Notamacropus eugenii: one gene and its partners. The protein of the gene in region 1 interacts with the protein of each later gene in a biochemical or structural test. Links are inferred from orthologs where the notes say so. Each region holds a gene or a part of one and is shown in the gene's direction. Other genes may lie near its edges. The genes, in order: RBPJ, NOTCH1 and SPEN.

Region 1 (7,628 bases):
CATTGTTTCCTTTGATTTACTCATCTCTACCTTTAGTTCATGAATTAGAGCTTTGTGTAAGGCTTCTCTTCCTGCTGTGCTTTGGTCTTGCCCTGGTTTCCTGTGCAGATTTCTGCCTCCCTAGGTTACCTTACCTCTTCGAGATTTTTGAGATTTAAAGCCCTGGCACCTTGGAAGATGATTCACTGACTCTGGGATTGGATTGTCCAGGTCTGATGGCTTGACTGTGACTGGTGTAACTGTTGCTGTCTACCCCTTCCAGAGTGTCCACATTGGGACTTTTACTGAGGAGCTCTCCATTCTTGATGCACCTGGACACAGAGCCTTGCAGGCTACACATGTCCTTAACCCTTATCTGAGCAAGCTGGAAGGGTACCTAACTAATCTGGTGCCTGCTTTGCTGGTTGTGTCCTTTCCAGTTGTCCTCCGGTTTCTGGTTGGATTCCTTTTTCAGTTCTGATGTGAAGAAGGTACTTCCTATAACTTTTCTTTGGATATCTTGATCATTATTTGCTCTGGTGAGAACTCCACGGGTTTTGTTGGAGCTAGAGCTGGAGTGGGCTGGGTGATCTTCCTCCTTCCTAGTTGTAAATTTCAGTTCAGTTGAATTTCATCTCCCATGCTCCTTTGGGAATTTTATGTGAGTGAATGTTGTGTGGCTATAGACTGAGGTGGCTTTTACTCTCTGGGCAAGTCCTTTGTCTTTCTGGTCTCTTTATTTGCAGTTGAGCTATTTAACCCTTTGTTGAGTTTTGATTAACTTTTCAACTTCTGTCTTCTAGTCTCTGCAGCCTTTTCTGTTTTTTTCTGGGGTCCCACTAATGCACCAGAAGAAAACATCCCCTGTCCTCTTGGAGTTTACCTTCTATTGGAAAACATTCACAAATAAATGTAAAATATATATAGTCATTTTGGGGTACTGGAGCCTGGAAGATCAGAAAAAGTCTCTTTTAAGAACTAGTCTCCATACTTAACTTTGAAGGGAGTTGCTGATTTCTAAGAGGCAAAATATTGAGTTCTCAGGTAGACTTTTTAGTTCCTAGGATTTGGAGCTATAAAATTACCTTAGAAAATCTTTTTATATTAGACATGCTAAATTTGTCACTGTAATTTGGACATTGGTTGAGTATTGAGACTTTTCATGTCTACTAACATCTAAATTATAGTATTTAGACATTAATTCTCTTAACTTTAAAAATAATTTAAGGAAGAGATATAAAAGTGGTCATTAATTATTTTCAGTGTGGTACAGATATTTTAATTAAGTCAACATAGAGAAAGGTTACCCAGTTACCCATTTTCTGTCTTTGGGACTTACAGTAGTGTTATATCAAGATTATATAATTAAATATAATGTGATATTTTACAGTAGATTTTATTTGAAAAGGTGTTTTTTGTTTTTACCAGACAAACCAGGGGTTCTTAACCTAGGGATCCACAAACCACCATCCTTGGATAGATTTCAAGGGGACCTTCTTTATTTTCAATAACCTCTAATTGAACAGCTAGGTGGTGCAGTGGATAAAGTACTGGACCTAGAATCAGGTAAACTCATTTTCCTAAGTTCAAACACTTAACTAGCTGTGTGACTCTGGGCCAGTCATTTAACCTTGTTTGCCTCAGTTTCCTCATCTATAAAATGAGCTGGTGAAGGAAATGAAAAACCACTCCAATATCTGTGCCAAGAAGACCCCAAATGGAGTTATGAAGAGTTGGACACAAATGAAAAATGACTGAACAACAACCGAGATTTAGCATTTTCTTCAATCATGAATTTTTTAAAAAACTACATTATTTTAAGAAAGACACTATAGTATCACTTTCTAAAGAGGTTCATGATACAGAGGCTAAAACACTTTGATTTTAAATATGTTCAGATAAGTACACTTGCACATGAACACACCTCCTACTGCCTAGTGGCTCAATTTTGTAGGTTACATTTAATAAAATTAGGAATATAATGAATGAATAGCTGTCTATAAAATCTTAAATTTCCCTGTAAGTGTACAGGAAATTTGGAATTTCTCAACCATTTTCTCTTTGCCTTTTTTCCAGACTTTAAAAGAAAAAATAAATGTAGTATATCTATTACACTCCTATACATCTGTTTGCCTATATCTATTACCTCAGCTGAGATACACATGAATGAGACTAGTTTCAGCTGATAAAGTACATTTGAGAAATATTCCTGTACTGCTTATGTAAAAGAAAAAATACTGATTTATGAAATCCTACTCATCCTGCAGGATTCAATTTCAAGTGCTACAGTCTCCTTTTTTAAGTATTTCTCCACCCACTTCCCTACCCCTTACCAAAAATCAGAAATGACGTTTTCTTCCTTGGACCTTGCATAACATTTTATGCTTAAGGTTATATTTTATTTAGCATTATAACTTTGTATATTTTATATTAATGCATACTTTGAGTGTGTGTGATTTTCTACTACTCCATGGGGAGGGGTGGGAGGAGGATTAATTATCTTTATATCTTCCCCTGTACCCTCCTGTACTTTGCAATAAGCTTTTAATAAATGTCTGCTTAATGAATACTCTAGCTCTCCTTTAAATATATAATTCTAAAAGTTTTGCTTGGCACTAGAATTGTTTTCTATGGGAAGATGTCTCCATTTTAAAAAATAAAAAAGTCAGTAGTTTCTTATAATTTGGATGTAAAAAGTAGTTTCAAGGACAGTTTGTAAAGCAGTGCCTTTTTTTTTCTGGCTAAAATTTATTTGGTAAAAGGTGATTTAAAAATCAGAATCTCAGGTTGTGGTATCTGATGATAGCAGCCTTGTGTAATATTTAAATTTGTTAGTATTTTATTTTGTGTTGTTTTCTAAGGATTTAGTTTCACTCTCGGAATAATGTTTCCTAACATCTATAAATCTTTTATCCTGTGGTTTTGCCATATTCCCTATCATTTATAAATAGACATAACTTAATACCTTATCTTTTATTATCTACCTAGTCTTTTCTGGTTATTGAAACCCTTACTTTAATGTTCAGTTTCATCAAACTTACCTTGATTAATCAGAGCTGATCCCAGAATATCATTATTTCTTTTATGATAAGTGTGTATATATATATGTATTTGAGTAGCTATTCAGTTTTGTCTCCCTATCTGTAGATCAAATTCCAAGTTCCTTTTTTTAAACATAAAAATAGATGCATAGTAGATTAAAAATAGGAATTACAAGTGAAATCTTTTCTTATTGCCCAACCCCAAAAATGAACCATGAGAAGGAGAAAATTTTTAATGAGGAAAAAAAAAATCATTCTACCAGTCCACATCTTGAAAAATCAAGAAATCAAATTTGAGGAAACCCTTATATAGATTTTGCTATCTCTGAGTTAGAATTAGTATAAAATGCTATAAGAAGACCTTACCAACTGAAATTTTTTCAATTTGTTAGAAAGTGTACAAATTTAAATCAACATGATTTCTGCTATAGGAGCAGATCTGTATTATTTCCTCTTACTAAAAAAAAAAAAATAATAATATTCCTGTGAAGAGAATGCCTTCCTGCAAAAGTTTCATCCAACTTTGGGCCAAATAATTATTCAGAGTCTGACCACTTTGACTGAGTGGTCTGTTCTGTCTTCTTTTATTGATGGAGAACTGAAGCAACAATTGAGGTTTAAGCTACTTGCCCGGGTTCTAAAGTGAGACCAAATTTTTAAAAAATTGCTAGCCCCCAGGAAGCTATGGCAAAGCTTAACTCCTTTACATAGAACAGTATTTGTTTAAAACATAGTTTTTCATATTAGCAACAGCTTATTTATTTTTCTTGATCATGGCAGTTTGTTTAACACAGTTCTCTAGTGCTTTAACATACTAACACTTAAAGTCATTTTTTTTTGTTTTTGTTTTTTTAAAGTTATTGAAATTTTGTATGAGACTGACATTGAAATGGAAGCATTATAGTTCTTCGGAGCCATTATGATCTCCAAAGGAAAGGAGAATGATACACTGGCTGAGGTGTTTTGAGGTGCATCGAAGTGTGCCGAGCCGTGGCTCACCTTAACATGTTCTTGAAGTACCATGGCGTGGATTAAAAGGTATGGCTTGGAAACATCCCAGTGACCCATTGTTCTTAGGTCATTGACAGTGTAAATCCCAGGCTTTGTTAGCAATAATGACTGAGTATTCTAAGGTGCTTTATTTTGTGGATTGTGGATATGGTTTTGAGTCTAGAGTATTAGCATTTTGTATTAAATGTATAACCTGCATGCTATGCTGTAGAAATTCAAGAACTGAATTAAAAATAGCTATAGGAATTATTCAACTGTTAAGTTTTATCTGATTTTTAAAACAGTTAATGGGCAGTAATTTTTTTTTCATCATAAATTCAGAGCAATACTTTAGGTTGTAACTAAATTTTTGATTCAGAGTACAGATTAGTTTTGTTTTTTTTTTTGCTTTGCTTCAGTGCTGTCATTTGAGTCATATATAAGTCTGACTACTCTGGAGGCCAGAACCGTGGTGTATATTTGTTTTTGTTCTACATATTAAAATTTTCACTCAGGAAAATGAGTGATTCATTATTTTTAGTGTGTGTATTGTTTATTCACAAATGTTTGTCTTATTAATCATGATTTATGTGTTTGTGATACTTAGTCTTACTGTTGTTTGTGGTTAACAATAATGTTAATTCTAGGTACATGGTACCCATAACCACTGAAAAATGTTCAGGCTTTTATGTTTCTGTAGTTTTACATGAGTGATGCAATCAAAGCCATTTTGACTCTTTGAAACCTTGGAAAACCCCTGATTTGGTAGTGCATATCTGTTGCCAAAAGCTTTCCTAAAGGTAGTAAGATATGAAACAACTCTGGTTGCTTATAAAGGTTATGCAGGGTACAAAATGTCTTATCTTTTAGTAATAAAGAACAGTGTATGTTGGAGGCAGATAGGAAAGTAATTCATTTCAGTTTGATTTAATAGAAAATCTCAGAATCTCATTAAATCACAGATTTATTGGTGAAATCACCTTATTACAAAATTATTTCGATATTTCAGTAATTAAACATGTTTTGGAGCTATTATTAAATCCAAGACATTCTCTTTTGTAGAAATAGTGTCTTAGATTCTAGAATGTTGTTTTTTAAAATTAATCCACTTGATAATTGTTGGTCATTGATGTATGCACTTGCTGTATCCTTTGCTTTTTGATGATCATGCTACCCAAATTCATGTTTTATGGCAGAAATAATTAAGGATCTTATTTTTTCTTTTTCCAAAAAAGATACCTCTTTAAAGTCTACTTCTTTTCTTCCTGCTTACTATACAGAGCTTTTCAAGGGCTTTGTAGCATTATGACATTTTGGGAAACCAACATAATATCTTCAAATAATTAAGATCTATAAACCTGTAACCGACTTTTTTTCCCTTTCCAACTCTTAAATTTCATACTTTGGCTTTTAATTTCTAGTGAATGATTTTTATTGTTGCTGTGTTATTGTTCCCTCTTGTATGCAAGTAGTGAAAATAAATTTTTATTCAGTTCTGGTGAATCCTTTTCCCATTCATTAATGGAAAGACAGAATATATTCTCCTTGGAGAATTTACTTGGGCAAAAATAAAAACACAAAAAAACTAAGTGAAATCATTTTCTGATTATGTTATGATTAAAAAAAAGAAGCAGAGCATATTTGGAAGCCCATTTCATATTTTTAAAGGATTAGATTTTTCAGGTCATTTTAGAATATTTTCCTCTAAGGTCATGTAAATATTCTGAATTTAGAAGACGGAAATTTCCCTTTATAACACTGTACCTCACTTTTTTTGGCAGGGAGTCAGGGGAGGGTTTATATCTACTTATGAGTTAAATTATTGTTTTGTAGGCTGGTGACATTTAGTGATACCTTTTAAATTATGTCAGTTTTCTTAATGTCCAATGTCCAAGATAGCTTTAAGAAGTAATTAGGACCATCTGAAAAATCCAACTTGATTTTTGCAGGTCTTCTTTTGTTAACTCAAAAAAGTTACGGTTTTGTGAGGGTTTGGTAAGGTTGAATAAGTATTTTTTTTTGCAAAGACTGAAACATTTTTGTGTTTGCCATTAATTTGTCATATTTAAAATGTGTCTTGGATTTTCATAGATCTGTAGCAAGCATTTCCATTTCCTTTTTTAATATAGAAGCTGTGAAGTCCTGCATGTCCGTATAGGATTGTAGGAACAAAGATTTGGAACTGGAAGAATCATTAGAGATAATATTATTTAGTCCAATTCCCTCATTTTATTAAATCATTAGAAGTTAAGTGACACATGCACCTTTTCACAGTAAGTGACAGAACTGGGATTTCAATGAAAATCTACTTGTAAATCCAACACATTTTCCATTGTGCTTCATTGCCAGCAGGAAGGTAGCTAGGTATGATTGTCAGAAGAAATATTTGCAGGGTTCTCTCAATCCAGGGACAAACACACTACTAAAGGTAAACCATGTTGTGTTTTGTATGATTTCATTGGTTTAAGAAACTCTCAGTGAGAAATCTCCTGCCAGCATAAAAGGTCACCTGCTTTGAAACTAAAAGTCTTATAGAGTTGTCAGGGCCACTGAGAGTTTAAGTGACTTGGCCAGGGTCACTCACTCTCCTAGTCTGTATTAGAGGTGGAACTTGAACCCAGGCCTTCCTTAATACAGCTTAAGCTCCTCTGTGGTCCTCTTGTCACTTAATTACACTTAGTAAAGTAGTTAATTTAGAGGAAAAGTGAAAAGTCAATAAATAATTCAGCCATAGATTGAGTAAGGTTTTTATATGCAATATTTTAGCAGTAAAGATAGCTGTCAAACTTTTTTTTAAAAAATCACCTTTTTCTGGTACATGCTTTCTTCATTTGCTTACATTTATTTTTCAGAGACTTCTAAAAACTATAGTTAAGAAAAAGCTACATAGAAGGAAAAAAGAAGAGGAAAACTAACGTGTATGTCTAATTTAGTCTTCAGCTTTAAGGTGGCCACTTCTTTGCAAGGGGAAAATGAAAGGTCTATCCCTTATATTTCTGAATTTTCCTATGCCTCTGGGACTGTAATAATAATTAGCATTTATATAGTGTTATATAGTGCTTCAGGGTTTGCAGAGTACTTTACAAATATCTCATTTTTATCTCCAGAAAAAAAACATTGAGGAAACTGAGGCAGGCAGCTTAAGTGACTTGGCCAGTCACACAGTGAGTGTCCAAGGCTGGAGGGACTCTTGTCTGTCACCTTGTCCTTGCCTCGTCTTATTAAACATCAGCAGTGGCTTCATTCAGCTCTTCGTGTTTGCTGTCAGTAATATACTTCTGATCCTGAGCCTTGTGGTTCTGTTTCTGTCTCTTAATACAGAAGTACAAATGAAGTAATGCCAGTGATGCAGTCAAAAACTTCTTCAGTTATGAGGAGCCAGCATCACTTGTGAGAAACTTCATATTCTTTCATATTTTTTTCTTTTGAAAGTTGATGCCTTCTGAACATATATATATATATATATTTTTTACCATAAAGAGCTGTAGCATTGGCTAAGAATTACTTCCCTTTTTATGTTGCTCTGCCATACTATTGCTTCTGATATATTCCTCCATGCCATACCTCAGGTCCTCTTCATCTCCCACTGAGACATAGTTTTAGGAGAATATTCAGAAG
Region 2 (8,080 bases), on another chromosome or scaffold:
AGCTATACTAATGTGTTTAGCTTTGGACACCATGCTTTTTAAAGTGCACTGATGAACTGGAACTCATTTGGAGGCATCAAGGATAGAGTAGTGAACTGGGAGTCAGGAAGACCTTAGGTTCAAATACCTTTCAGTCACTTACCTAACTGTGTGATTCTGAGTAAGTCACTTATCTTTTCTGTGCCTGCATTTCTTCATCTGCAAAATAAAGAAGTATAAAATACAATATGACCTCCCAGGTCCTTTCCAGTTTTAATTTCTAAAAAGAAGGCATTTACTGAAATAACATAGCAAGTTCAGGAGTAACAAAACATCTCCCCCATAAGCCTGGGGGTACATTCTCCCCAAATATATACACCAGTGGGAAACAGATCTAAATCTATGATACCAATCACCATCATACAGGTAAACTGAACAGGGAGGACAGGAAACAAAACTGTGCTAACTAGGATAGGTTGAAAGGATTTGGGGGTATTTATCCTGGACGAGAAGATTTGGGGATTGGGGACGACATCATTATTTTCTTCAAGTATGCTAATGGGTATCTTCTGGAAAGGAGCTTTGTCTCTAAATCTTGGCCTCAAAGAACAGAATGAGGAATAATGGGAAGTTGCAGAGAGGCAGATTTTGACTTTGTGTGAAGAAAAACAAAACAAAATTAACCCTTCTAACAACTGGGGCTATCTAAAAGTGGAACAGACTGCCTCAGGGAGGCTGTGAGTCTGTTGGAGATCTTCAAGTAAAGGCTAGATCACTTGTTCACTTTTAAGGGATATTGTAGAGAGGATCTTCTTTAGAAATAGGTTGCATTAATGAAAACAGCCCTGGCTTTCCATCTTACAGCCATCATTTTGGCAAAGATGAACAAAAGAATGGAAAATGACAATTGTTGGAGTAGCTGCAGGAAAAAAGGCAACTCTTTTGTATGTACTGTTGGGAGAAGTGTGAGTTGGTACCATTCTAGAAAGCAATTTGGGACCATACTCCCCAAAAATTGCTAACCTTTTCATATCCTTTCACCAACTGATATTGCTATTGGGTTAAAACCCAGAGATGAAGGAAAGAGAAAAAAGGATTAATTTGTACAAAAACATTTAAAGGAGCACTTTTTCTCATATTAAAGAATTAGAAATAAGGGGAGTACTTATCCATTGGAAAATGGATGAGTAAGTAATTTGTGGTCTATGAAAGGGATGGATTCACAGACTTGTATATATGATTGTATATAGAGCGAATTAAGTAGAATCAGGGAAACAATTTATTTAATAGCTATAACACTGTACAGAAAAGCAACTTTGGAGGACTTGATTAAGTATTTTGATCAAATAGAGAACCACCATCATTCCAGAAGATTCGTGATGAATCTTAACTCCCTAATTTTGACAGAGAGGTCTAAAGGTTCAGAATGTGACATACATTTTCTGACATGGCCATTGTATAGATCTGTTCTGCTTGACTATACTTATCTGTTGCAAGGAAAAAAAATCTTTGGAGGATGGGGGAGAAATCATGAAGGGAGCAGTAATAGTGATGCCAAAATAAGAAGAAAAAAGATTGTTAATGAAACATTTCTTTATTAAATACACAGAAGAGATCAGAAGGAAATTCAGAAAGAGACACAGGTGAACAAGAATGTATTGGAATTACCATGTAGATTTATTATAGATTTATAAAGATAATAACCATGATTTCAGTAATTGAGATTCATATGCAATTCTTTTTCTATTCTTTGTATATAAAACTAATCAAGGAGATAGATGTCAAGTCAATAAAAATGATTAAAACATTTGAAACACTTTTGAAAATGTATTGAATTAGATGACCTTTGAAATCTTTTCTAACTCTGAGGTTCTGATATAGTCTGAGTAGTGAACTGGGATAGACCGTCTACTTCCAGCCAGGCCAAGTAAATTCTGGGATCCATCCTATGATCTTGTGGGACAGAGTGGGTGGAAAAACGGCCACTCAACTGTGAAGTTGCTGAACTTAACGTCTCTCTGCTTAAGTAACCTTTAATGTTAGACTTTGGTTTCCTTTGATGAAAAGATTCTTCAAACAAACAGACTCAAGTATCTAGGAACCCTCCACAAAGTGCTTGAGAACATAATTTGTTACCAACTTTGGGGAAGTGTTTGTAAATAAGGTAGAGAAAGTCTTCAGAAGCTCAATTTGTAAATGAAAAGGTTTTAGCTACTCTGGTAAGGATAGTTGTGGTCTACTGCTTTCTAAGGTAATGCATCCACATAAAGCCAGCTAGTTCATTAAAAAGAGAAGAGAATGGCTTAAAATTTTTGTATAAATCAATGAAATATCTCCCCCAGCACCTAACACAGTACAAAGTAGGTTTAACAGATGGTTGTTTAATGGAATCAAAGCAAATGCAGGCCTACAGACCTTGAGATAGAAGGGATTTTGACGCTTGGATTTATTTTTGAGTATGTTTTCACACACCTAGACACCATCTGGAACTTTGTTGGGTTTTTGACATGGGGTCTATTTAGATGGATACAATCTCACTATCCTTTTCTTCCAACTTCATGTTGGACTCACAAGGCCATAAGTTTGGAGAGAGTAGAAGGCAGGAGTTGAGGATGGGGATGGGGGAAACAGAGGGTGGTGGAAATACTATATTCTTTGACAGCATTTTCTCTCACTTCTCAAATCCTTGCAATCTGGCTTCTGATCTCATTGTTCAAATGAAACTGCTCCCTCAAAATTACCAATGATCTCTTAATTAGTCAAATCTAATGGCTTTTTCTCAGTTCTCATCCTTCTTGACCTTGCTATAGCATAGGACACTTGCTAATAACTCTCTGCTCCCATCTCCTCTCTCTTCTCTGAGTATTGTCATCCAATTCTCCACCTATTTGTCTGGCTATTCGTTTATCAAGGATGAGCACACCCCTGAAACTGCTCTCCTGGGTCACCATCCATGGCCCATACTCTAATGGGGTATGCCCCAAGAGTCTGTCCTGTGATCTCTACACTCTACTCTCTCTACCACAATCTCATCCATCCACTTATCTTTTTGGTGATAATTTCCAGATCTACAACTATAGATCTCCCTATGGTCCATCATCAACTGATTGTTGGACTTTTCCACTGAGAGGTCCCATAGGCAGCTCAACTCAACAAGTCCAAAGTAGGTAGAATTCATTATCTTTTCCCCCAAACTCATACATCTTCCCAATTTTCCTCTTTCCTTTGAGGATACCATCACCCTCTCAGTAACTCAAGTTTGAAATTGAAATCTTAGAGTCATTCCTGACTTTTCATTCTTCCTGATTACCCATATCTAATTAGTTATCAAGTTTTGTTGATCTTCAGCCATAAAATTTCTGGCCTCTTCTCTACGCTCTGGATGCTACTATGATGCTACTACTACATGCTACTACTCTAGCCTAGGACCTCATCCCTCTAGAATGGGATAATGCAGAGGTGTCCCAGTTGGTCTCCCTGCCTCTAGACCCTCTCCTCTCCAAAACATCCTCCACCAAGCTGTGACAACAACCTGAGGCCTAAAGATCTGCCTCAGTCATTTATCTGTTCAAAGAGCTCCAAAGGCTCTTTATTGCTTTTAAGATAAAAATACCATCTCCTTTGGCATTCAGAGATTTTCACACTGACTCCAAAAAACCTTTCCAGACTCCTTGCACATTATTCCACTTCATACACACTACATTCCTGTTAAATGGCCTATTTGCTTCTCTTGGTACATAACATTCCATCTCCTGCCTGTGTAGAGACCCCCCAGCTTGGTATCCCTTAGCAGCTTCAAAATCTAGGACAAGTCCCTCTTTTATATACAGCCCTTCCTGATCTTTCCCAACACCTAGTGTCTCTTCTCTCCCCCATCCTATCTACTTTTTATTTACAGGGTATGGATTTCGTGCTTACTTGTATGTGTAGATAGTTCCCCAACAGAATTAATAAGCTTCTTGAGGGCAAAAACTGTTTGTTTTTTGTCTTTGTATCTCTAGTGATATAGTTCCTGGTATATAGTAAGTGGTTAAATAAATACTTGCTGATTGGTTGGATTTGGAGTCTTGGGACCTGGATTCAAATCCTGCCTCTAATACACACTATCAGTGTGAATTTGGACAAAGCCTCTTAACCCTCTCTATGTCTTTCAACGAGAGGTTGGAATAGATGACCTCCGTGGCACCCGAAAACCTACCCCTCTAAGAGAGTCAAGTGCACGAAGACGTCATGGTCAAATGTGTTCAAGTCCCCAGTCACCTTCCTATGGACCCGTCTGGTCTCCTAGAAGTGCCCAGAGTTACAGGGAATGAGGGGGTGGAGGGAAAGAGATCAGGATGAATGCACAAACCTGTCTGTGCTCCACGATTAATTCCTAAGTTAGGAAAGGGGGATTTAGGTCACCCCCAAGTCTTACCCAAATCCAACATCCACTCCAGGAAAGCTCTCGAGGGTGGGGCCCGAGAATACTCCTCCAAACCCAAGTCCCCCTAGCCCAGCTCACTGCCTTTTAAGGCATTCAGATCAGTCTTTGGGACAATCCCTGGCTCTTCGTCCTGAACGTTCCTTCCACTTTCCCTGTCTTCTCTACCTCTGCATGAAGTCCCCACAGAGCATCCCGTAGAGGGAGGCCGGAGACAAGGTTAGGAAGGGAAGGTGGCTGGGACTAAGCACACCCTACGCTCCACTCTGCTGGTCCCCGGCCCCGAAACCAGTGGCTCCTCCATTGACATGCAAATACGTAAAAGACTAGGCGAAGAACAGAAACTTCATGCAAGAACCAAGAATCCCTCCGCAAGCTCACAACAAACTTTCAGTAGTTTCTGAAACTTTCAAACGAGAAGTAGTCCCCTGGCACGGGAGGCCCTCCCAGCCCCAGAAAAGTATTCGGGGTTCTTCAAGAGAGCTTTGGACACCCCAGAAAGCATCTTCGGCCCGCGGTCTCTCCGGGGAGCTCTGGAGCTGAGAGAAGCGAAGCTCCATAGGGAGGGGGTGGAGGGGGAGCGGAAGGATTCGGAGAAGAGGGAGGTTCACGGCTGGGGTGGGGGGGAGGAGCAGGAGGAGTGGGAGAGGCGCGGAGCTCGCAGCTTCACTTAGTGTCTTGGCAGCTGTAGGTTACGTAGGGTTGAGCCGGAGCGGCGCGGAGAAGTCTGCGAGGAAGCGAGGGAACGAGGGAACTCGGGCAGTGCGTGCGCGCCCGTCCGCCTGCCGAGAAAGGGAAGACGAGGGCGAGATTGGCTCCCTAGCTGAGAGACGCTGCTTAGGATTTCCCTGCCCGTTCGGAGACCTTATGTCACTCTGAGCCTTTCTGGGATTGCCCGAGCGAAGCGCCGCTGGGGGAGAGCTGGCCGCTGCTGGAGGCATGCGGCCGCTCCTAGTGCCCGTCGTCTGTCTGTCGCTGCTGCCGGTCCTCGCACGAGGTAGGACTTGGGGCTGCTCCAGTGGAGATCGGAACCCCCAGATCTGGGGGTGGGAGAACAATCTGGCGGGGCGGGCAAGCCCGCAAACTTTGTGCACCGTTGGAGAAAACTTTTTTCCTCCTGGAAAAGAGACGCGGCTAATCCAGCCAGTATTGGGGAGAGAGTGAACAGGCATGGATTGTACAAGGGGAGGGGAAAGCAACCTGGCTTGGTCACTACGGGCATCGTGTGATGGTGCAGGCAGCAGCGAAACGGGTGGGTGGGTGAGTGGGAATGTCAGTACCTCCCTGGCCGGGATGGGACCCCCTGGAGTCACCTTTTCCCAGCTTTGCGCCCCTGGCTATGTGCAAGATGTCATCCATCCCCAGTTTCCCCACTTTCCGGGAGACTCTTGGCTGCAGGGAAGACTACTCCCTCCCCCAATTTGGGGGCTCTGTTTAGGGAGGGGATTGAGGTGGCACCGGGAGGGGAAGGTGCGGAGTGTGGCTTGTGTGTCCAAACTGATGGAAATATAGGGAGGGTTCCAGATGCCTTGGAGGCTGAGGCTAAGTTCTTGAACGACCCTTACTCTCCGCCTGCTTTCTCTCCCGCCCCCTTCCAAATCTGCATCCCCCTACCCGCAGTCAAACCTGCATTTCTCCATGCACTGCCAAACCTACATTCCCCCCCTACCCCGCGCTCCCGCCCCGGGCCAAACCTGCATCCCCCCATCCCCCCCCCCGCTTTGGGTTTTTTCTCCGCTGGCTGAGTTCTTTCTATTCGAACTTGAGTCAGGTTTCCTGTTCTCTCTGGTCTTTTCTTCTCCGTCTGCCCACTCCACTTTCGGGTCGAGGGCTGGGGGCGGATGTCAGCGGCGCGGGGTTTTCGGGCTCAGAACAGTGTTGAGTTTTTGCGAGGAAACCGACGGAAGCCCGCTCCCCGGTGCCGTAGCGGGGGGGGGGGGGGGAATATGTGGCCCCACTCCCTGGGGCTGCAAGGGCTCTGCATTCCGGCCGTTGTGCTGACCTTGGCCACTCTGGTGGGAGAGCCGTCCCGCAGGCTACGGGAAAGTTGCTTGAAGCTTAAGGGATGAGTAACTTTTTGGTCCAAAAACCTAAAACTTCTAAGCATCTGTAACCCTTCCTGGAAAAAAAGGCGGGGGAGGGAAGAAAAAAAAGTTTCACAGAACATTCTCTGGCTCCTGTGATCTCACCCTCTACTTTGGAGTTTTCTTTTCTCCTGACCTTAAGGAATGACAACTCTCTCGGGACTGGGAGAACGTTCACTTGCAGGGGGCCCCCCATACGGCTCCCTCCTCCCCCTCAGCCCACGGAGCAGCGATGAGTCAGGCAGCCCTCTGCCGGGTGTCCTCCACTCACTGCCTCCCTCCTCTCTGCTTCCCACGCTTCGTGGGCGCCCCTCCCCGAGCGGTGCAAAGAAGAACAACACTGCCTAACCCTCCTCGCCCCTCTTTGAAAAAAGTGTTAAAAGAAAAAAAAAGGCCGCAGACTTTGGGCACAGCTCTCCCCGCCGCCCCCAGCCCACCCCAAACTCTTAATTTCAGTTGACTCTCCAAGAAAGGAGGTCGCTAGAGGGGACGGGCCCACTAGATTCTCATGTTTGATATATATAGCCCGAACCCCTCATTGGGGCTTTAAGTTGGGGAAGCACTTCTCTCTCTGCCCAGGAATGGAACCGGGATGGTGGAGGGGGGTGTCCGCGGAATTCTGTGAATTGGCCCAGCATTTGAGGGGTGGGGGGTGAGGTGGAGGCGGGCCCATTGGTGCACCTCAGATCTTCCCGGGAGCAGGTATTGAGTGTCCCGGGAGGTAATATTCAATCCTAGCCCTACAGTCAATAATGCAACAAGAGGTGTCTTTAAACGAGTTACAATGGGCGGCTCTGATTCCCGCTTTGTTGGAGTTCAGGGGAAGCTGGGCCCCGCAGCTGTCGCATTTTCCCACGAACCAGGAGGGGAGTGTGTGCGGCTTGCTTTGGGGCCATTCAGACTCCCCCTCCAGGACTGGCTAGATAAGTCACTTTACCATGAATGTTTGAACAGGCAGACAATTCACTGCATTTCTGAGCGCTCACTGTAGTCTGAGCTCCCCCCCCCCCACTCCCTCCTCCCTCTTCTCTCTCCTCCCTTTTCCTCTCTTTCCCTTCCCTCCTCCCCTTTGAAAGAGATGTGGATCTCCCCTCAAGTATAGGCTTCTGGTTGGGTGGGCGAGAAGGGAGATCGAGGGAAGTTTGGGAAAGTCATGCTGGTGGAATTTTTGAGTAGTTGAATTGGTCAGATTGGCTTCTGGGTAACTTTTCCCATCCTTTGCCAAGTTATTGTGCAATTTAGAGCTAGTAGGCTGGGATAGACCTTGGATAGCTGGCTTTATAGAAACAGCCCAACTTTCAGTCTATCATTCTTCCTTCCTACCTCCTTGTTGACTTCATTAAGAAAATCAAAAGAATTCATTAGAAGGGTTATCTGCCCTTAAGAAATCTGGTACCTGTGTATGTTTCTATACATACATACCTGTATTTATATGTGGAAGTGGATGTACACACATATGATAGATGTAGAATATTTACTGAATGTACATTTTTCTTCTACAACTGACTCAACAGTTCAGCAATAATGAATATTTACTAAGTGCTTATGATGGTATAAATAGATTATAGTACTATGCTAGATGGAATGGGATGGG
Region 3 (7,646 bases), on another chromosome or scaffold:
TAAAGGTGTTATAGTTCTCTAGTATTTTCCAAAGTTTAATGAAAAATTGTATTTGTTACCCAGAAAATATAGATTATTTTCACACACAACCCCCTCCCCCACTATTCTTCCTGCAGCATTATCTTTTTTTAAATAAGTTTTTTTGAAGTCTTTTGCTTCTTACATCATCTTATTTATCCCCAGTTTCCCTCCCTCCCAGAGAACCATCCCCTCCGACAAATAGTATTTTTAAAGAGGAAAAAAATAACTACAACTGATTGATACATGGGAAAAGTCTGAAAAATGTGCAGTGTGGACTTCTCACCTCCATGAAGGGGTGTTTTGGAGGTGTCTTTTCATATCTCTTCATTTGAGTCTTGCTTTATAATATTGTTGTCCTCACTTTCGATTTTTCAATATGTGATAGTTCTTTCCATTTACATTGTTGCCGTCATGGTGTAGTTTGTTTTCTTGGCTCTACTTACTTCAGTCTGCATCAGTTTATATAGGTCTTTCCAGGCTTCTCTGTAATTCCTCACACACGTCACACACATCATCACACATCTTACAATGCAGTAATATTACTGTGAAGAATATTACTTACAGGGTAGTAATATTCCATTACATTAATATACCATAATTTATTTAGCCATTCTCTAGTAGATGGGCATCTCCTTTTTTTCTAATTCTTTGTATTAACTTTTTTTAAGAAACATATTCAGTGTTCTCCTGAACTGTAAGTTTCTTTAGCTCAATACTAGCATAATATATGGTGGAGTTTTTTCCAGTAAATTTCCTTAATTTAGACTAAGCGGCTTAATATTCTGTCAAGGGGCACCTTTTTGTTCTCAGAAACAGTACACTATTTGTTTTACTCAGGCGAGTAACATGAAAATACATCTGTTTAGACTCATATCCTTTTTGATAACATAAGCTGAGAATTATTTCAAAAATCTCAAACTGAGAAACATGTAGATTTGTTTTTTAAAAAATTAACATTTTGTTTATATAGCTATTTTGAGAGTTTACTGAAAAGGGGATTTTGTGATGAGTAAACCAGTTTGCCTGAGTAACTAAGGGTTCAAAAGTAGTTTTGTTTACTTTAAATGTAAACCATTAAATTTCTTTTGATTGATTTTAGAGCTAAGCTGGTTTGTTGCCCTCATTTGATACTTGGCTGTCAATTGTCCTGAGATCCCCCAAGACTTTTATTCCTCTGTATACCTTATATGCATTTTCAAAGTGGCAGTTTAGGCCATTTTACCACCTAAACAAAAGAGTAGTCAAAAGTACAATTAAGAATATTTGTAATTTCAAATGGAGTTTTAACAAGGGGTGTATGTGTGTGTGTGTGTGTGTGTGTGTGTGTGTGTGTGTGTGCATCCGCGTGCACATGCTTTTTCATAGGGAAATAGGTTTCTGCCAGAAGACCTTTAGCCTACTCCCTGAGTACTGGTTTTTCTTTATTATGAATATGATCCCTTTTAATTTCACTGTGTTCCCATTATTCTTGTATTCTCAGGAAAATAAATAGCTCCAATTAGTTTTTCTCTGGTAGGCATTCTTTTTATATCTCTATTCTAGATCATAGATGGACACAAAATATATCATTATTGTCAACACTATTGTATTATTGTGCTCTCTTCTAATTATAGCAAGGAGGTGAAAACTAGGTTTTTCCATCTTTTTCAGATCCTGGGTTTTCCTAGCATTCAAAGATATATTATTTGTTTGCATAACTGCATGATGGTATTTTCTGAACCTTGTCAACTTCCATGTCACTTGCTTAAAAAAAACCCTGTGTCTTGTGCAAAGTCTTGCTCTCCATGGTAATGTTTTGGTCTTTCTAAGAGGTTACAGCTAATTTATAACCCATTAGGTTTTATATGAGTAATTTGCATCATTTCTTATGTGCCTTACCCTGTGGTTGCTTGTACTGAAACTTATGCTTCATTGGAAGAGTGCAGGACAGTTCAATCTCTCCAGCTGTCATCTCATATATTGTAGACCAGTGGTGTCAAAGTCAAAGAGAAACAGGAGCCACAAAACTGTACGTAAGGCTCTCTGAGGAAGTTGCGTATTGACTTAGTTTTAAAATGTGATATTACCTATGTTTTATTCTACTTTATTTCGTTACATATTTCCCAATTACAATTTAATCGGGGTTGGACCCCATGAGTCCTGTGAGCTTCATGCTTGACACCTCTGTTACTGTCCATTAAAGTTTCTGTAATAGTTTGCTACCTTTCAGACTACTTATTGAAATGTTCTGGTACAGAAATGACTTGTATTTATGCTGAATCCTAAATCTCAAAGCAGGCTGTTTTCTCTTTTCTCCCCTATTACTCTTCATAGTTCTTTCACTGGCAAAAAACTTGCATTTCATTCAGTGGGACTTTTGTTTGCTTGAGGACAATGAGAGTGGCCCCTAAGGGTGCACTGTTTTATGTTTCTTTCCATTATATTATGAATGAATGCCACTGCTGTGGTTCTTTGTGGCTGTTTTCAACCCTAGACCTTTTTCTGTCCCTTCCTCTTACTGAAGTCCCTAAAATAAGCAGGGAAAAAATGGCTGTTAAAATAGAAAATGGAAACCACACACTTGGAAAACTCAGCATAGAAAATAAGCCTGTTAAATCAGTAGACCTACAATTTGGAGAATTTATACGTAACTTGTCAAAGTCCCAAACCCAATTTGATGAAAACAAGTCCACCAAGTTGGCAAGGTTGCCCTTGACCTAGCTTATCATGTACTGTAATTGTTGCCGTGTTGTATTTGTTTCCTGGAGCTTGCAACCGTGTAACTGCGGGGCTTTGCTAAGCCCCGGAATGTCCTCAGAGATAGTGGAGAGAGACTAGGTCAGTGGATCTAACTTGGAGACCGCTTGCTAAACACAGTACAGAGCGAATAAAGAAACGGATGAAACTGGAGTATAGTGTGATGCTTTTATCGCTGTGCAGCCATTAAGAAATTATTTGGTGATTAAAACAGACTAAAGCACAGAATGCATTTGAAACTTGAGACACTTCTGAAAAAAGTTAGTCTGAGGCTCGTTTGACTGTAGAATACAAGAGCTAAGTCTTACTAGGGAAAAATTTTCCTTATCGATGCTGATTTTCTCTGCTAATATGAAAAATAAAGCTCATTTCAGTCTGTGAGAAATGTATATTCCTTAAAACAATACAACCAAGTGTTTGTTTTCCAGGGAACTACCTGGCGTTTCCAGTTAACAGCGAGGTGTTAGCTCTAAAAGGCGTTCCGTCCCTGCGGGCCCCTCAGATCTTTCGGAGCTAGCTTCCCCTCCAGGCCCTTCCATTCCCCGCTCATCGGTGGCAGTGCCTGCGGCTGGCCCAGTGCTGTGCCAAGGGCTCCCTTAGGACTTTGCCTCTTAGCTGAGGAGTCGCGTTCCTTGGAAGAGGGGAGCAGCCCGAGGACTACCCACCTTTCCTCTAAGTACGGCTTCCAAAGTCTTGCTCTTGGAGAGGTCTGACCGTCTCCCTCCTGCCCTCGCCCCGAGGTCTGTTCTTGGCAAACCCTCGGCACGCTTCACCTACTGAACAGCCTTTTACCCGAGGAGCTGCCCTGGCTTCTAAGATAGCAGCCACTGCGGTGGTTTGGAGGTGCTCGTGGGGGCCAGGGCAGGGGACTGCAGGGGGATGGGCAGCGCCCCCAGCCGCAGTAATCCTAGCTGGCGTTTACAAGCCCCCTCGGGCTTGGCCGGCGCTTTCGGCCGGTGCTCTCCTGCGAGCTCGTGGCTCTCGTCCCCCATTTCACAGATGAGGAAGCTGGGCCTGGGGGTGGGGGCAGGGGCTTCCTTCCCCTCCCAGAAGGGCGCTCCCCCTACAGACTCCTTTCCTCGCCCCGCAGCTGGCCAGGGGCAGCGCATGCTTTCGGGGAGCCGCCAGCAGCGGCTCCGCCACCTCCAGGGCTCCCTCCCTCGGGGCCTAGCTCCGGGGGGCAGGGGAACCTTTTCGGCTCTCTGGTCGCGCGGCTGCGCACAGAGGGAGCGGCCCGCTTTGGTCTCTCCGTCTCCTCCCTCCCGCCTCCTCGCGCCTGCGCACCGGCCGAAAAGGCGAGCGGGGCCGAGGCTTCACTGAGCGCGTACCCGCAGCCCGGAGCAGAGGAGCGTGCGGGCGGGCTGGCGCGCGCGTGCGCCGGTGGGAAGCGTCCGGACTCAGGCAGGCGGCGAGCTCCGCCGTCGACGCCGTCGGCGTGGGGCTTCGCCCCTCCTCCCGCTCCCCCTCCCCTTCCCCCTCCCCCTCCCCTGCTCTCCCTCCCGCCCCCCGGAGCCGCCAGTGCGCATGCGCCGCCGCAGCGCGAGGGTCGGGTGCGAGTGTGTGGAGGAGCCAGAGCGGAGCGGGGAGTCCGGAGAGTCAGAACCTGGGGGAGAGGAATGGTGTCTGCACGGGGGGGAGCCGGAGGAGCCGCCGCCGCCGCCGCCGCTGCCGACGCCGCCGCCGCCGCCGCAGCTGCCGCCGCCGCCGCAGCTCCCGCTCCGGCTCCGGCTCCCGCTCCGGCTCCCGCTCCCGCCTCCCGGGGCTGAGGGTCCCGCACGGAGCCGGGGGGGCAGGACGAGGAGGAGGCGGAGGAGGAGGAGGAGGAGGCGGCGGAGGAGGAGGAGGAGGTGGCGGAGGAGGGGGAGGCGGAGGAGCCGCCGCCGCCGGAGCCGCCCCCGGGCCGCTGCCCAGCATGGTCCGGGAAACCAGGCACCTCTGGGTGGGCAACTTACCGGAGAACGTGCGGGAGGAGAAGATCATCGAGCATTTCAAACGGTGAGTGAGCGAGCGAGCCCGTCCGCCTGCGCCGGGCCCGCCCGCCCGGGGCCTCCCCCAACTCGGAGCCGGCGCCGGCCGGGGCCCGGCCTGGCCCGGCTCCGGGAGCCCAGCGGGCGAACGGCACCCCGCCCCCGCGTCCCCGGCCCCTCGAGCGGAGGCCCGCCGAGCCCGTTGCTGCCGGCGGTCCCCGCACTGGCCCGGGGCCGGCCCCGACCCGACCCCCGAGATCTGCTTGGGCAAGGGAAGAGCGGGGAAGCCGACCCGGCCGGCCCGGGCACTCACCTGCCGGCCGGGGGAAGCAGAGCCTTGGCCCTCGGACCGATGGGGCTCACCTAGTCGGGGGGTGCCCGGCCCCTTGGGGATGGGAACTGCTCCTCCCTCCACCCCCCTCCCCACCCCCCCTCCCCAACAACCCTCATGGACTCCAGGATGGGAAACTCTGGAGTCGCATAGCAACTCCTGCTGCCGCCGCCGCTCCTGCCCCGGGCTCGCCCGCGCCCTCGCTGGGCACGATCTTTGCCTTTCCTAAAGGGCTTTTGTGCGAAAGGAAAACAATACAGAGGGGCATTGTAGGGTGTGCAGAAGCGTGGGCACGGACGGCGCTGCGGGACCGTGGGCAGCCTCGTACGTGGAGGACATTAAGTGGAAATGGAAAACTTGGATTTTCATCGATGCCCGGAGATAACCTTTGGAGCTGCCTTCTCCGCTCGTTCGAATGAGGAAGGAGACTGGTGGGAACTAAGCGGTGGCGGTGTAAAAATGGTTTTATTTTTTTGAAGAAGTCAGCCTCCACTGCGGCCTGCTGGTCTACAGGAAAGCTGCGGGGTCTCTAACACCGCAGCCGCGCTGGCCCCATCCGTGGCGTGCCTGCCCCTAAAAACGTGGTGTTTGTGGTCCCGCAGAGATGCCGCACGCCTCCGAGAGCCTTGTGGTCCCTGCGCGGCGCCCGCTTGTGTTGGGTGGCACCCCACGTCCGTGCTCTTTGTGAGAGGCCCCCCGGATTTGCATTGCCAAGCCTCTTTAGCCAGGACGACGGACGGGGCTTGTTCACATTGTCTGGAAGGAGTCTTGCTGGCGCACGTTTCCAGGACTAGCCCTCGCCCTCCCCCCGGAGTGTAGCTGCCTCCTGATGCCTTCTGCCACTGCTTAGGGTAGCGAGGGTAGGAACATTGTGGAGCGTCCTCCCGAGTGAGTCACCATGGGAAAAGCAGAGTCGGTTGCTCGCACATGAGCAGCTCGGATCAGGAAATGGAAGCGGCCCGGGCCCAGCGGCTGCCTCGTAAATGGAGGCTCATTGATTACTGCTGGCTGCGGGCCGCCTCCGAGCTGGGCGAGCTGGCCCGGGAGCGCGCCGGGCGCGCCCCCGCGTGTGAAAAGGGCCTGTGCGGGGCCCTGGGGGAGGCGGGGCGGGGGCTCCTCATGACTTTCACCTTACTCTTGACTGGGGGGGAGGGCGGCCGCGGCCTGGGAGGGGGCGAGGCTCGGGCGGGGGGGGCGGCCGAGGAACGCACTCCCTCCCCCCTCGCCCCGGCAGTTGGGCCCCGCTGTGGCTCCGGGGGTCGGGGTCGGCCCGGCTCCCCTCGTGGTCCTCGCCCCGACGTCCGGGGCCGGGAAATGCCCGTGGCCGGCACGTGCCCGGCCGCCTCGGCGTGGCCGGCGTGTGTGGCCTGGCGGGCCGGCCCCGGTAGGGCTCGGCGGGCGGCGTCCGGGCCGGGAAGCGGAGCCGGAGCGGGCGAGCGGGCGGCTCTGAATGGCTCTAAAATGGCGGCTGGACCCAGTTTACGTGGGAAACGGCGGAGCCGCCGCGCCGCGGGGGGGAGGGAGGGGGAGGGGTGGGAAGCGGGGCCGCCTGCCCTCCCCTCCCCCTGCGGGACTGCGGACCCCCTGGCGGCCCCGAGCCCCCTCCTCTGCCCCCCCCCCCCCCCCCCAGCCCGGACACGCGGGACGATGCGGGGAAAATCGAATAGCATTTTTGCCTTCCCCCCCCCCCCCCCCCCCCGATGCCCTAGTGGCTCGTGGGCACTCGAGAAGCCACGCGTGGGGCCAGCCCCGAGCGGCGGGGCCGGGGATGGCTGCCTTTGTTTCCCTTCGCGGCTCTCCGTCCGCTCGGGGCGAGGCTTCCTTGTTGTGGCTTTGGCCGCAGCTCCTCCAGCCAGAACCAAAGCCTCGGAGAGGGGCCCGCGAAGCCTGCGGCCCGGGGGCGGCCCGGGGTCCGAGCATGCAGAGGGAGGATGGGAGGGAGCTCCGCGGCCCGGCTTCCTGGGAGGTGCTGTTTGCACAATAGAGCTCGTCCCTGCCTTTGTGGGGGAAGGGGCCTCGCAGCCTGGGGCGGCGGGGTCCTGCGCAGCCAGGGTCGCCCCCCGAATTGGGGCGCCGACGGAAGCTTGCTGTCTTTCCTAGAGAGCCCTCCGTACCTTAAAATGGCTTTTCCATTTTCCTGATCTCCTCTAGCAAACCCAGTAAGATTCCCACCCATCCCCCCGTCCGAAGAGACCGTAGAGAATATGCAAAGAGGTTGAGCGAGCAGAATTCCTGAATTCCTCTTACTCAGGCTGGAATGTTTTTCAAAAGCTGTCCCTCCAGCCCAAGCATAAAGGATAGCAAGCCATGGGGGGGACGGACCCTGAAACGTCACAATGATGCTGCCCCCGTAGTTAAAAGGCAGTCGAGTCGGTTAAAAGTTGTTTATTAAAGCTTTCTCCCCTCCCCCTCCATGATAGTATAGTAGTAGGTTCCTTATCTATATTTTATATCGATTAATAATTTCTACTTGTGTTTTTAATTTATGACTGAAAAATCTTTTTTTCTGAAGTCAAATATACAGAACCACCACCTGAGAACCGATTTTACCTTGCCATATTTTAAAATTTGGGGGGTGTGTGGGAAGAGGT

Evidence for each region.
Region 2: the proteins of RBPJ (region 1) and NOTCH1 form a complex in vitro, tested with the Homo sapiens proteins (5 studies listed by BioGRID and IntAct, with this or other methods). The link is inferred for Notamacropus eugenii from reciprocal best matches to the Homo sapiens genes RBPJ and NOTCH1.
Region 3: the proteins of RBPJ (region 1) and SPEN form a complex in vitro, tested with the Homo sapiens proteins (2 studies listed by BioGRID and IntAct). The link is inferred for Notamacropus eugenii from reciprocal best matches to the Homo sapiens genes RBPJ and SPEN.

Annotation. Positions count from the first base shown.
Region 1 is NC_092877.1:79,244,360-79,251,987, forward strand, and holds the start of RBPJ (recombining binding protein suppressor of hairless), read left to right. Parts: upstream 1-4,547; 5' UTR 4,548-7,347; coding exon 7,348-7,400; intron 7,401-7,628. UniProt on the Homo sapiens protein: Transcriptional regulator that plays a central role in Notch signaling, a signaling pathway involved in cell-cell communication that regulates a broad spectrum of cell-fate determinations.
Region 2 is NC_092872.1:489,517,903-489,525,982, forward strand, and holds the start of NOTCH1 (neurogenic locus notch homolog protein 1), read left to right. Parts: upstream 1-5,069; 5' UTR 5,070-5,341; coding exon 5,342-5,399; intron 5,400-8,080. UniProt on the Homo sapiens protein: Functions as a receptor for membrane-bound ligands Jagged-1 (JAG1), Jagged-2 (JAG2) and Delta-1 (DLL1) to regulate cell-fate determination.
Region 3 is NC_092876.1:55,286,894-55,294,539, forward strand, and holds the start of SPEN (msx2-interacting protein), read left to right. Parts: upstream 1-4,549; 5' UTR 4,550-4,669; coding exon 4,670-4,752; intron 4,753-5,582; exon of another isoform or gene 5,583-5,943; intron 5,944-7,646. UniProt on the Homo sapiens protein: May serve as a nuclear matrix platform that organizes and integrates transcriptional responses. In osteoblasts, supports transcription activation: synergizes with RUNX2 to enhance FGFR2-mediated activation of the osteocalcin FGF-responsive element (OCFRE).